Arabidopsis thaliana: one gene and its partners. The protein of the gene in region 2 interacts with the protein of the main gene of each other region in a pairwise test. Each region holds a gene or a part of one and is shown on either strand. Other genes may lie near its edges. The genes, in order: AT3G60590, AT5G66480 and IRX15-L.

Evidence for each region.
Region 1: the proteins of AT5G66480 (region 2) and AT3G60590 interact in a two-hybrid assay, tested with the Arabidopsis thaliana proteins (one large-scale study listed by BioGRID).
Region 3: the proteins of AT5G66480 (region 2) and IRX15-L interact in a two-hybrid assay, tested with the Arabidopsis thaliana proteins (one large-scale study listed by BioGRID).

Annotation. Positions count from the first base shown.
Region 1 is NC_003074.8:22,396,718-22,400,395, reverse strand, and holds AT3G60590 (cytochrome P450 family protein), read right to left. Parts: upstream 2,169-3,678; coding exon 1,976-2,168; intron 1,665-1,975; coding exon 643-1,664; downstream 1-642.
Region 2 is NC_003076.8:26,544,000-26,549,079, forward strand, and holds AT5G66480 (bacteriophage N4 adsorption B protein), read right to left. Parts: upstream 3,002-5,080; 5' UTR 2,821-3,001; intron 2,482-2,820; 5' UTR 2,478-2,481; coding exon 1,736-2,477; intron 1,414-1,735; coding exon 991-1,413; intron 908-990; coding exon 738-907; 3' UTR 542-737; downstream 1-541. Other genes in the region: AT5G66470 (GTP-binding protein Era-like protein), read right to left, coding at 1-303; AT5G66490 (uncharacterized protein), read right to left, coding at 3,424-3,753; AT5G66500 (Tetratricopeptide repeat (TPR)-like superfamily protein), read right to left, coding at 4,077-5,080.
Region 3 is NC_003076.8:26,817,007-26,820,714, forward strand, and holds IRX15-L (IRREGULAR XYLEM protein (DUF579)), read left to right. Parts: upstream 1-1,942; 5' UTR 1,943-2,012; coding exon 2,013-2,966; 3' UTR 2,967-3,151; downstream 3,152-3,708. Other genes in the region: AT5G67220 (FMN-linked oxidoreductases superfamily protein), read right to left, coding at 3,270-3,708. UniProt on the Arabidopsis thaliana protein: Required for xylan biosynthesis, but not directly involved in catalyzing the addition of sugars to the growing polymer.

The DNA of each region.
Region 1 (3,678 bases), on a different chromosome or scaffold from region 2:
TGAATAGAGTGGGACATCGCTATTTGTCTTGTTCATTTCTCAAGGGTAATACTGTCAATTCATTTAAAATTGATAAAAACGCAAACGCGCCCTAATCGCAAACGCGTGGAGATGAATTACAACAACAACAATTCAACTAAAGTAAAGAATATACATTATAATCTGATCATATTTCACAACGTAACGTATAACTTTCTTTTTTTTACTGTTACCAAGTACTCACCAAATGCAAAAACCTATTACTTATAAGGCTATAACACAGTACATATATTTTTCTTCTTCTTTCTGACATGACTTAGTAAAAATACAAAACCATATAAACTAGTCTTATTCGACATTATGCTCTACTTTCTTAAGAGAAACATTTTCATCATTTTTCGTAAATTCTTAAATGTCTTTCTTTGACAGGAATCTGTGTCAACCTTTGCATATTCTCAACCTTAACGTCAACCTATCAGCCTTTAATATTGAAATGAATAACATCACATACCTAACTAAAAGAGCGAATATGATCATAAAGAATATGTGTTTTTTTTTAATCCTTATCACCAACCCACGAATAATAAAAGCTATACAGTGAAGAAAGAGTTACAAATCTTTGACATGACTTTAAAAACTAAACGAAGAAACATTTATCTGTCTTTACTTAGAAGCAACAGATTGTGGTTGCTGACCTGTTGTTGTTCTAGATGCAAAACCAGCAAACCAAGCAACTCTCATGAGTTGCATTCCCAAGATCAATACCCACCAAGAGACAAGCCCACGAAGCATATGAACCACCCAAACCGGTGCGTTGACCTCTGCACTAAGTGTCAACCCTCTCATCAGTTGCAAGATTCGGTAAGCCTCGTAGACAACTGGTGTGACTAGCCAGACCGGTGATTGCCAGTGCCATGTGAGGATCTCTGTTAATGTCTGAACAGCAAGGAGAATGAAGTACGGGAAGAGGATAACAGCGGACGAGAGGAAAGGAATCTGGGGCTGGAGAGAAGCGAGAAGGCCAGATTGGGATCCGAAGAGAAGTAACATTGGGACTAGAAACCCGATTATGAGTGAAAACATGTTCCAGAACTTATAGCTAAATGGTGGTTTGCTGTTGCAGGACTGTGATGGGTCTTTAGGACGTGCGCAAGAATCAGCCATTAAGAGGAAAAGGGTTGCTCCAAGATTGAAAATGCAATCTAGACCGATCAAAGAAAGTAGACTAACCACGTTGGAACCGAGAAAAACCGATGACAACGGAAGCCATAAAGTAGGCGCCATACCGCTTGTGAGGAGAACAGATGGACCCAAAAGCCATATTGGCCATTTAAGTACCTGAACTTGAGAATTAGTTCGTTGTTGCGCTGACATATCTACTTTCTCTTCCTCTGCACTCTCGGAGACAATAGATTCGAACACATTCGCGGTTTTGTCCAATACTATATCAGCAGCTTCTTCTGCAGAAGCATGAATGAAAGGTGACGGTTCCCACTGAGACAGCTTTGGTGTGCATAAGACACGGAGATTTCTGAAACGGAAATTACAAGATCCAGTCTTTAGTTTCTGCAACATATTCGGATTCTTGAGACGGACTCTTGGAGTCATAGTGCATAGAGACTTTGTAAGAGATACCATTCCTTGGCTCACCATTGAAGTCTCTAAAAAAAGCTTCAAACTCTGTTCTTAACATAAACAAACAAAACAGAACATTTCAAAATCATCAGGACCAAGACGATACATGGACACAGGGGAAACACTTGAAGCTACTAAACCGGATAATCGATATCAAATCAATACAAGTCAGAATCAAAACCGGTAAGTGAAGCAATTAAGCATAAGGAGGGATAAACCAAATTGAAGTCGATTATCAAAATATATACCGATCAATTTTACCATGAATTCTCGGGAAGGTAATCACGATAACATATAAGGAAATCGAATTAAAGAGTAAGAAGCCGATATGAAATCGGAAAAATAAAATAAAAACACTCACCGGCGAATCGCAGAACGGTAAGATCCCTAATCCGTTGGCTGTTTCTTCTCTTAACGTCTCCGGAGAGAAAAATCTTTAGAATAAACTTGAATGTGACGTGTTTGGATACTAAGATAATCATGTCCGGAACAAAAATACAAAGAGCTACTATGATTATACGACGACGTGTTGATAACTTGAATAGTCGGCCCATCCTTTTTAAAAAGCCCACTATAGATCGGTAGCTTATGTTTATATTTTGTTATAATTTTTGATAAGGAGGATTTACGTGTCTTCAAAAAGCTAAGACGATGGCCATGGTGGCACTGTTCACCGTTGACGTTGTTTTTGTCACTGCCAAATGAAACGTCTTAGCCCGCGTAGTTCTTTTGGCAGTTGGAGTGGTCTAATCTCGTACTTTCCGACGTCTCTTTGTCCCTGCAGGGAGTTTATGCATTATTTTGGTCGTATGGATTAAAGGTACGTATGGAATGGTAGTAACAATGATAACGAGATTTTGATAATAATGATGGTGTGAACAGAAATGTAAAAGTGAGTCATTCTCATTGGCTTCGGACAAGCAAATCTAGTGAAATGTTACTTTACCAAGTCACGACACTATCCAAAAACCAGACTTATTGAAACCATTTGTTTGGCTACCAACTTTTGTATTGCACTAATTCATAATCGAGATTTACAATCAGAATGGATCATGTAAAAAGTTACTTATGAGTTTTTGTTTTCTTTTAATTTGGAATCTCTTACTATGATTTAATTCATGATTTTGTATTATTTTATTTTTCATTTATGCATACATTTTTTTTTTATTACAAAAAGGGTATTTTGAAACGATTTTGCGCTTGGTACACTAAGAATTTAGGGTTTGGGAAAGGAGACTTTGAGAGTTGAGACGTGACTTCAAGAAAACAGGACAGAGACGGAATTTTGAGAAGCATGCATCTTTTCCTCCGTTTTAGTCCTTTTGAACTTGAGACTCGAAAGAAAACTGCAAGACAAAAACTTGAATTTTACTATTAAAACAAGTTCTAATTAGTCTAGTTTGGGGTATGGGAACAATAAGACAGGTAAAAGTATATATTAGAGAGCTGTCCGATTTAGTTGACTGTTCATTAAACTTTTTTTTTTTTTTTGATTGATGATGACTTTTTTTTTTATCGTATCCATAATGTACCACATATTTTGTTTATCAGAAAAAATTAATACCGTTTGGTATCTCTATCTTTTTACCTATATTAGTATATTACAGACCTTTTTCTTGCCACTTCTGTTATTTTGTTGTCGTTTTTTTTTCATTTTGAAAACTTTTATCATTTCATGTCACTGATCGTATCTACTAGAATTTTAACTGGTCCAAGTATTAAAGCATGTACACGTTATCCATTAATCAATTGATTCAGTTATTTGAGTCACAATGTAAGTCGTAATTCAAAGCGGTTAATGTTCTTGAAAGTTACTTTATGAATCAGTTGACCATTTAAGCTTTAGCGTATTACGTGGGAGTCACTGTTTTTTTTTTTTTTCTTTTTCAAATTAATATATATATATATATATATATACATTTGTTCTCGATAACTAATGTAAATTTCTAACAAACGAGTTGGTTTTCCAAATAGAATCTTGTATTGAAACTTTTTCTATGTTGACTTGTTGAGAGATAACGGTGGTTGTCTTTAGTGAGTCATTATTAGAGGTTTCTTTTTTCA
Region 2 (5,080 bases):
GCTCAGGGAGAGAAGACTGGCTTCGTCGACGATATCGATCTCCACTTGTTCTTCATCATCTTCTAATTGTGCTTGCTCAACCTCCATTTCGCTGAAGCTTCGTTGCCTAATCCATAGCTTCTTCGAGGAGGAGAGTTCCGTCCGGCCATAGCTAGTGGTACTGTTGTGCGCCTGGAGATGTGATTTGGTAACTCTCCGCCGACTATAGATACGATACGGAGAGAAATTAGGGTTTTCAACAACGGAAGTAGAGAAGAATTTGTAGCGGGAAAGAGTAGGCGAAATATGCGGAGAGACCGCCATTGTTGGACTTGGTTTTTCAAATTGATAGCTCTCACTGGTTGGTTTTTCCTCACAGGTGCTTTCTTTAGTGATTAGCGAAGGAACCAAATATGATCTTCATACGACGCCGTTTCAGAATTTGTTATTTCCACTTACACCCCTTGTTAAATATAATTCCCATTTCAACCGCCTTTATTTTTCTTTACCCAGTTACCCCCCTCGTTAAATTTAAGAACCAACATAACAAAAGCAAGAATCAGGCACGGAACTTCTGGCTAATAATAACATTGCAAGTCAATAAGCGACACAAACAGAACCAAATTGGTATGACCTTGATCGTATGAAGCTGAGTTATGTCGTCATCATGAATGTTCTATACATTCTCTAGAAAAGGTTAAAACAAAACCCATTTTCCTATTTTTATTCACAAGGCCTGAAGCTTTGATTCAACCTCATTATGAATCTTTTGGAGACAGCTGAGGTTGAGCTTCATCTGATGATAACATTCCGGGAGGAAGGTACGACCAGGCCAAGACTCCACTCCCGAGTGTGATGGTTGCAGCTATTGATCCCCAAATCCACCTCTGCCTCCTCTTTCTCTTTTGCCCGTCTCGCCTTGCCACCTCTGATATCAAAGAGAGTTGAAGCATTGAGATAAAGAAAAATAAGATAAGACATTCTTGTAAATTTAACTTGAGTTTCTTCTACCTATGGCCTCTTGGTTGCGCTGGGACATTTCCTGGTTCACAGTCTCGTAATAATGAAGACGGTCAGACAACCGGGTGATTTCAAAGTTCTTAGCTTCGAGCTCAGCTTCCATCTCCATCTCTACCTCTGTCTTGGCCAAGTCACTGCCTAGTGTGTCGGAGACAAACCTGGTGACCTCAAGTTGACAACGTAGCTCATCAGCTAGGTTCATGCTGTATTGGCTTCTGGTGGGATCAAGAGGAAGGAACATACCCACATCGGCCAACTGGTCACGGAGCCTCCGCCAATGAACTTGCATTTGCTCTAGAGTCGCCTCTGCCTGCCTCCTCCTTTCGATTTCCATTAGTAAACCCAATCTCATCTCCCTTACCTCAGATTCAATGTTGTTAGCTGAACTCTGCATTCCACTGTCAGTTGATAGTTCTGGAAGCCAAGAAACAGTAACTGAATAAATTAAAACCAGTTTCTTAGATATACCAGTGAATCATGCATGCAGATTTTCTATGTCTTTGGAAATCTGATTCATAACTATCACGAATTCAAGATGACTATAAACACAGGAATCCCAAGCCTAAAAGGCCACTTCACAACCAAAATCACATACTGATATATGCATATAACACTTAAAACTAAAGGAGAAGAGGCTCCAAGAACTGGCAAAAAGTGATGATGCTAGAAATGTCAGACATCATAAGAATTTTCTAGCTATCTCGTGGTTAAAAAAGTTAGTAGGAAGAAACAGTACCATCGCAAGCATCATAAAACTCTCCAACATGTGTAGCAAGACTGTGTGAGCTTTCAGCTCTCTCGAAATCTTCTACCTCTGTGTTACTTGTGAAGCTTACTAATTCACCTGGGTTATAGAAATTTTCAGGCTCAAGCTCCTTGTCTGCTTTTATTCTTACCGGCTCCAATAAGTAACTTTGCCATTCTAAATTACTGGTAGCATTATTACTTCCAATCCCACCATTGCTGATATCTCTTCCCGACTTCTCGTTCAAAAATGTCCCAAGAGGGGGACTGCAATCCCAAACAGGACGTTCATGGATGCCTTGGGTGTGAACACCATTGGTGTGATCCACCGCAATAGCCTCGGTGATAGGAAATGATAGGGATGTGGACTTGCTCAAGGAGGCAGTAGCCTCCACATCTACATTACCACTAATCTTTTCCTCACCAGAGGTTATCGGGTGAGAAGGCCCATCCACCTCAGAGTCCCTATTGAAAAGAACAGGCCCACGAGCTTTGTGATTGATGATATAGGGAGATGGAGGGTAGGAAGAAGGCGAATTGGGATGAGGGATTTCTTTAGTAGTGGCATATAGAGAAGGTGACATCTGAGGACGAGTGAATGTCTTTTCTTTAGGTTGCTTACTTTCATCATTCAAAATAGACGGCTTTGACTGCAGTGTGCTTGGAAATTTACTAGATAAGGACGTCCCTGAATTTAGTGATCTACCCAAAGCGGCAGCAGAAAATGTAGGCATGACTCTGCATCATTGAAGATTTCAATTAGAAATCCACCAATAGGGATACACAACAGCGAGAGAGCGTTGTTCAACTAATAAAGTAATGAACATCGAGAGAGTCGATAACGGATAAACAAAAATCCAAATCAATGTCAAGCAATTAATAACCTATACAAACAAGCTAACAATCTGAGAGTTCAATTTCGGGAAGGAGCAAACCATAGAGTGCGAGATTATCAAACTAATCATTCAACATCAAGTAGCCTAAACTAAATTTAACAGAGATTATCACGGAACCAAGACCTTAATCATCAAATCGAACAGTCAGCAGCTAGCAAAATCACTCGATAGAAATAGTTACCTCGCGACAGAGCATCAATCGGAGAAGACGAAACGAAAAGATCAACGCAGACGGAGGAAGAAGAGACGATCGATTGATGGTAGATTGATATGACATGGTGCGAAAAAAGAGCAAACAGAGATTAGATATATACTGAGGAGGAGAGAAAAAAGAGAAACCTCTTCTCCAAGGCTTTAGTCGCAACAAACTCTTAATTTAAACCTCTTCACCAAGGCTTTCATTCGCAACGACCGCGTATCACGCTGGGTTTTGGGGAATCACCGGAACGGCTGCGTTTTGATGGGGTTTTGTATGTTTAGTGACGTGGCATCTCCTGGTGTTTCGGGTAGGCTTTTGTAGTCATCAGGGGCCCCACTGTGTTTATTCGTAAATTTGTAAACCCAGTCTGATTACTGATAACAAGTAATAAACCGAGAATTTTTCTTACTATCAAACTGTAAACTTAAATTACATGGATTTGTCCACAAAGAAGCAGAATCATGGCTTATGGACGAGCTTTCTACTTTGATGTATGTATGTATTCATCCTTCTTATTCAAATAGAAAGGTATATCACAAATCGAAAATAAATATAAACAACCTCTGTGAAATCTCTTTCTCCGATCTATCTGTAATATATGGCAGGTCCATTTGAAGTGTTATCCCAAACACCTCCTTCCTTGACATACTCCAAGTACCTAGCGAATTCTGGTTTTGCAGTCGTCGTGCTCTTCTTCTTCTTCTTCCTCTTTAGACTCATTTCGAAGAAACTAAATAGAGGGTGAGCCGAACCCCTGGTTTTCTCCACCGGTTTATTCACCTTCGGGGATTGACCATGGGGATTTGTAGGAACGCTCTCCGGTTTCACTTCTAAAAGCCCTGCGCCTGCTTCTTCTTCGTCGCCGAGCTTCTTGTAGCTGCCTCGAACCTTCCTCGTGCTCAGCGCTCTAATCATTATTTCTTGTGGTTTTGATCAATTCTCTCTGGTGATATGTTTTTAAGAAAGGATAGATTTTGAAAAGGACACATCTTTTGACTTCTCTTCTCCTTATCCCAACGACTCCTTTAACTTAAACCTTATGTGACATTGCCCTTTCACCTACTACTATTCGTGGGTCAATGCTACTTTATTTTTGACTATGTCTTCTTTGGTGTTTGACTTAATTAGGACAACGAGACAGTTCCACAACAATGCTTTAGACTTTAGTGGACTTGCTCTGTTTCTTGACACAAAAACAGTAGCTCAAGTGTAGTGTAATGCTGAAAAAACAAAGCAATTCATATGAATAAGCTGTGTCCTGCTGTTTTAACCAAACCTTTATTCTTCAGTTTTCCTCTCAATTCTTCAACGACATCCCACTTCCCCATCGCTGCATAGAAATTCGAAACCAACACATAAATGCTCGCGTTCTCTGGACCCGTCTCTTCCATAAGCCTCCTTGCTACATATTCGCCTCGCGTAAGATCCATATTAAGACTACAAGCACTGAGTACCGCTACCCATATAGCACAAGGAATGCTTTGATTATCGTTCTCCATCATTCTCTCGACTAATCTCCATATCTCTTCTGTCTCACCAGCCTTGCTTAAGATATCGATGAAGCATACGTAATGCTCTGTTCCAGGAACCAACCGATACTTCTCCTTCATCATACCAAAACATTCCTTACCTTCTTTAACTAGTCCTGCGTGTGCACAAGCCGATATAACAACAAGAAATGTCACTGAATTCGGTAAAACTCCGCTTCCTTCTTCACACATTTCCCTGAAGATTTCAAGAGCTTTAACCCCATCCCCATTAACCGCATACGCATCTATCATACTCGTCCAAGAAACCACACTTTTAGATGGAATAGCTCTGAAAATAGTACGCGCTTGCACAATCTGACCGCATTTTCCATACATATCCATTAAGCCATTGCATAGCTTAGAATCTGAAACGAAACCATTACGTAAAGCGACACAGTGTATCTGTTTACCAATCCACAGATCAGAGTTATCAGAGCAGCCAGCAAGAGAGCTACTGAGCACTCTCACATTGGGTCTCTGCCTACTCATAAGCAGAAACGCTTCCTTGTAATTTCGGTTTCGAATGCAACCTGATATCAAAGAATTCAACATCACCTCGTCCGTATGAACATTCAAACTGTTATAAACCTTCATGGCTTCATTGATCAAACCTACACTCGAGTAAAAACTAATCATTGCAGTTCCTAAAACCACGAGATCGCGTCCGGTGACCACCACCATGGCATGAACTTGCTTCCCTTGCTGCAAAATCT
Region 3 (3,708 bases), 270 kb from region 2:
TAGCAGAACCATGCATTTTCTACAAAAGAGTTTTGTTTAACCGATGCGGTCAAAATTATGTTTTCCAAGAAAAATAGCATTGGGGGACTGAGAGTCACGCGCTGAGTGAAGCGGGTGAGAATCAGCGTCTGGAGCCTTTACATAAGCGACGGCTTGAGCAAGTCCGTGAGTGGCTATAGCCGTTACTGATTGGTCCGTAGGAAATGACTAGACTCGTAGCCAAGCATGTGTGGTCCTTTTTTTTGTTTTTAATTTGTCAACCTTACTTGTCCTTTTTACTCTTTAATTAAAAAAACAAAAAATCAAAATAGCGACGTTTTATTTCTCAAAACAAAAAATACATAGTTAACGGAAATTATGTGGAAGAAATGGTGAGAGTTATTGACACTGTGACAAAAAGTATGGAGAGTTTCTACAGATTTGTACGATTTTGGGTCCAATCACAATAAAAACTCATTGTTCCCACTCTTCTATGTTTTTTTAATATTCACTTTGCTTGATGCACTTTCTTTATAAAAAGATTCAAGATAAGCAAAGCGTGCTGCTTTAGTAGTGACACGAAAACAGCATCTCCACTCTCCATTAGCGTCATTTCCTTAAACATTGAGTTTCAACTTTAAGGATTACAATAAGTATTCACTGTTTCTTTATATAACAAAAGGTTAAAAGTGTGGTGGCTATACGGAGAAAACTAAGCTAAAGTGATTTTTGACTTCATTATTTGTAAATAAGATCTAAAACGAAGCACCCACCATTTCTTTCTTTAGAGGCTAATATGTGTGTGTCACTTTAAAATGTAATTATTTCAGCATATAAATGGCTAATCCTCTGATATAAGAATGTACATAGGGTCTATAGAGACTTTTAGCATCAAACCTGGAATCTGTTATGTACCACACTAAAGCCCAAATAAAAATAGACCTTGTTCAACGGGCCCAAATCAGGTGGATTTCAGTAAGAGAGTCCTTTTGAGGCAAAAGCAGAGTCCATCACCATGTGAAGTACATAATTTTGACGTTATAATACTTAAACCATTTGAAGTTGGTTTCATCACATAAAAAGTACATAATTTTATCTAGCATAACTGTTTGGGTTAATACCATCAACTTAGTTTAGGCGAATTTTGTATCACCTACTTATATTTTCCTAGTTTAGATGAAATAATGTTTGTTTTTAATTGTTTAATATTAGTATAAGATAATAATAATAATATTGTAATGCATAGTTTTAAATATAATTCCTTAGGAAAGAAGTCAACGAAGAAGAAGAAGGGACAAAGACTTGTGGCCTGTAATTAGTTATGGTGTCACTTTGCAGTAACCAAAACGCCGACACCTCTCTTCCCTCTCTTCTTCATTTCACCAGCTCCATGCATATACGGTACAACCAACCACCTCTATTCTAATCCCAAACACCCTCCCCTCTTTTCTTTACACTTTTCTTATTAAACTTTATAACCAATACAAACATTTGGTGTTTTGTTTTTTTGTATTCTTCCCAACTAACTCCAAAACGTATGATTGTAGTTTAGGACTTGATTGATTTATAGTTCACAATTTATAACCGTAAAAACCAGTCAACAGCATTTTAACCCTTACACTTTTTACTCTCAAAAAGTACATGATTAAGATCTGTCACTTTCACTCTTTTAAAATTTACCAGACGCTTATTTTGATTTACGGTGATTTGTTAATTAGGTAATATCCGTGTTAGATAAATGTTATTTTCTAAGTTGTATTAGAGAGATGTCGCCTTCAGAAATCTCCCACACGAAGCTAAATTTTGGAAATAATTAATAAGATTCCAGAGCAAATTAGTCTTCTAGAATATAATAAATACTACTATACATTATAATACCTCTACCACATTTGTGACGTCGTCGTCAGTCTCTGATAGGTTTGAGTTCATATATTTCCTTTTTAATACTTCTCAAAACCAAAACACTTTTGTTTTTAAAACAGAGTCATCCTCTTCGTCTTCTTTCTCTGACCAAAACAGAGCGAAAAGCAAAAATGAAAAGTGGAGGGAACACAAACACTAAACTCATACTTGTTCATCCATACATTCAAAAGCAAACAAGCACAAATCGTCTATGGCTTCTCGCTTTCGTTTCTTTCTTCACAATCGCTTTTCTCCTAACTCTTCTCTACACCACCGACTCCATCATCTCTTCTAAAAACAACTCCGCCACCGTCTCCTCCGCCGTCAATTCTGCCGTCACCACCGCTACCATCTCTCAGTTACCAACAACAGCCATCAATGCAATGCTTCACTACGCTTCAAGATCAAACGACAGCTACCACATGTCATACGGAGAGATGAAATCAATCTCCGACGTCCTCCGCCGCTGCTCTCCGCCGTGTAATCTCTTAGTCTTCGGTCTTACACACGAAACCCTTCTCTGGAAATCGCTAAACCACAACGGGCGTACAGTTTTCATCGAAGAGAATCGTTACTACGCTGCTTACTTCGAAGAAATCCACCCGGAGATCGAAGTCTTCGATGTTCAGTACACGACCAAAGCTCGTGAGGCGCGTGAGCTTGTGTCGGCGGTTAAAGAAGCGGCGAGGAACGAGTGTCGTCCAGTGCAGAATCTTCTCTTTTCAGATTGTAAATTAGGACTCAATGATTTGCCGAATCATGTATACGATGTTGATTGGGATGTGATCTTAGTTGATGGACCACGTGGCGACGGTGGAGATGTACCGGGGAGGATGTCGTCGATTTTCACGGCGGCGGTTCTTGCTCGGAGTAAAAAAGGCGGGAATCCGAAGACGCATGTGTTTGTTCATGATTATTACAGAGATGTTGAGAGACTTTGTGGGGATGAGTTTCTTTGCCGGGAGAATCTTGTGGAATCTAATGATCTGCTTGCGCACTACGTGTTGGAGAAGATGGATAAAAACAGCACGCAGTTCTGTCGTGGTCGTAAGAAGAAACGCTCTGTTTCTTCTCCATCGGCTTGAGTTAAATGTGCGCTAAAATCTTGTGGACTGTGGAGAGTCAAACCAACCGACACGACGGTGGTCATTGACACCGTCAATCGCGGAAGGAGTTTGTGTAAAATAATACGTTTTTCTACCTTTAAATATTTTTTCCTGCTTTTTAAACTATGTGAAAATTCAATCAGATCAATTAAAATTTCAAAATATCTCTTCGAGGTACAACAATTCGTTTAAAATACCACTATAGTATTTGGATACTGATGATTTGGTGTTACAACATAAATGATAAAACCCAATGAATCAAGAACGTATAGTTTCAACTCTCTAAACCCTTTGTGGAGAGTCTTGTGGAGTCAGAGTATCTATCTTCTTTTTCTTGTAGAGTGGAACTCTTCCTCCAAGCTCTCTTAGCTGATCCACAAGTCCGTATAGAAACTCAAACGTCAATATGTTTTGAGCATTAAGTTGCTCTCTAACTTGTGGATGAATTCTAAACCATTCTCCCAACATCTTATGAACGTGAGATCGAATCATCCTCCATGGAACCGGATGCTTCTCACACAGCTTTAAATACTCAACAACTAAATCTCCCTGGTCTAACCCTCCATCGACGAATCCCTCTTCTTCGTTATCTTTTGCCCATTCAGCTGTTCTAAACCCAGCAAAGGCCGCCGGGTTTTCAAGAAGCGTCTCCGCAGAGAGAACACCTTCAACACCCGTCTCTTTGATGCAGTTATCGACATCTTCGATGCATCTTACATTC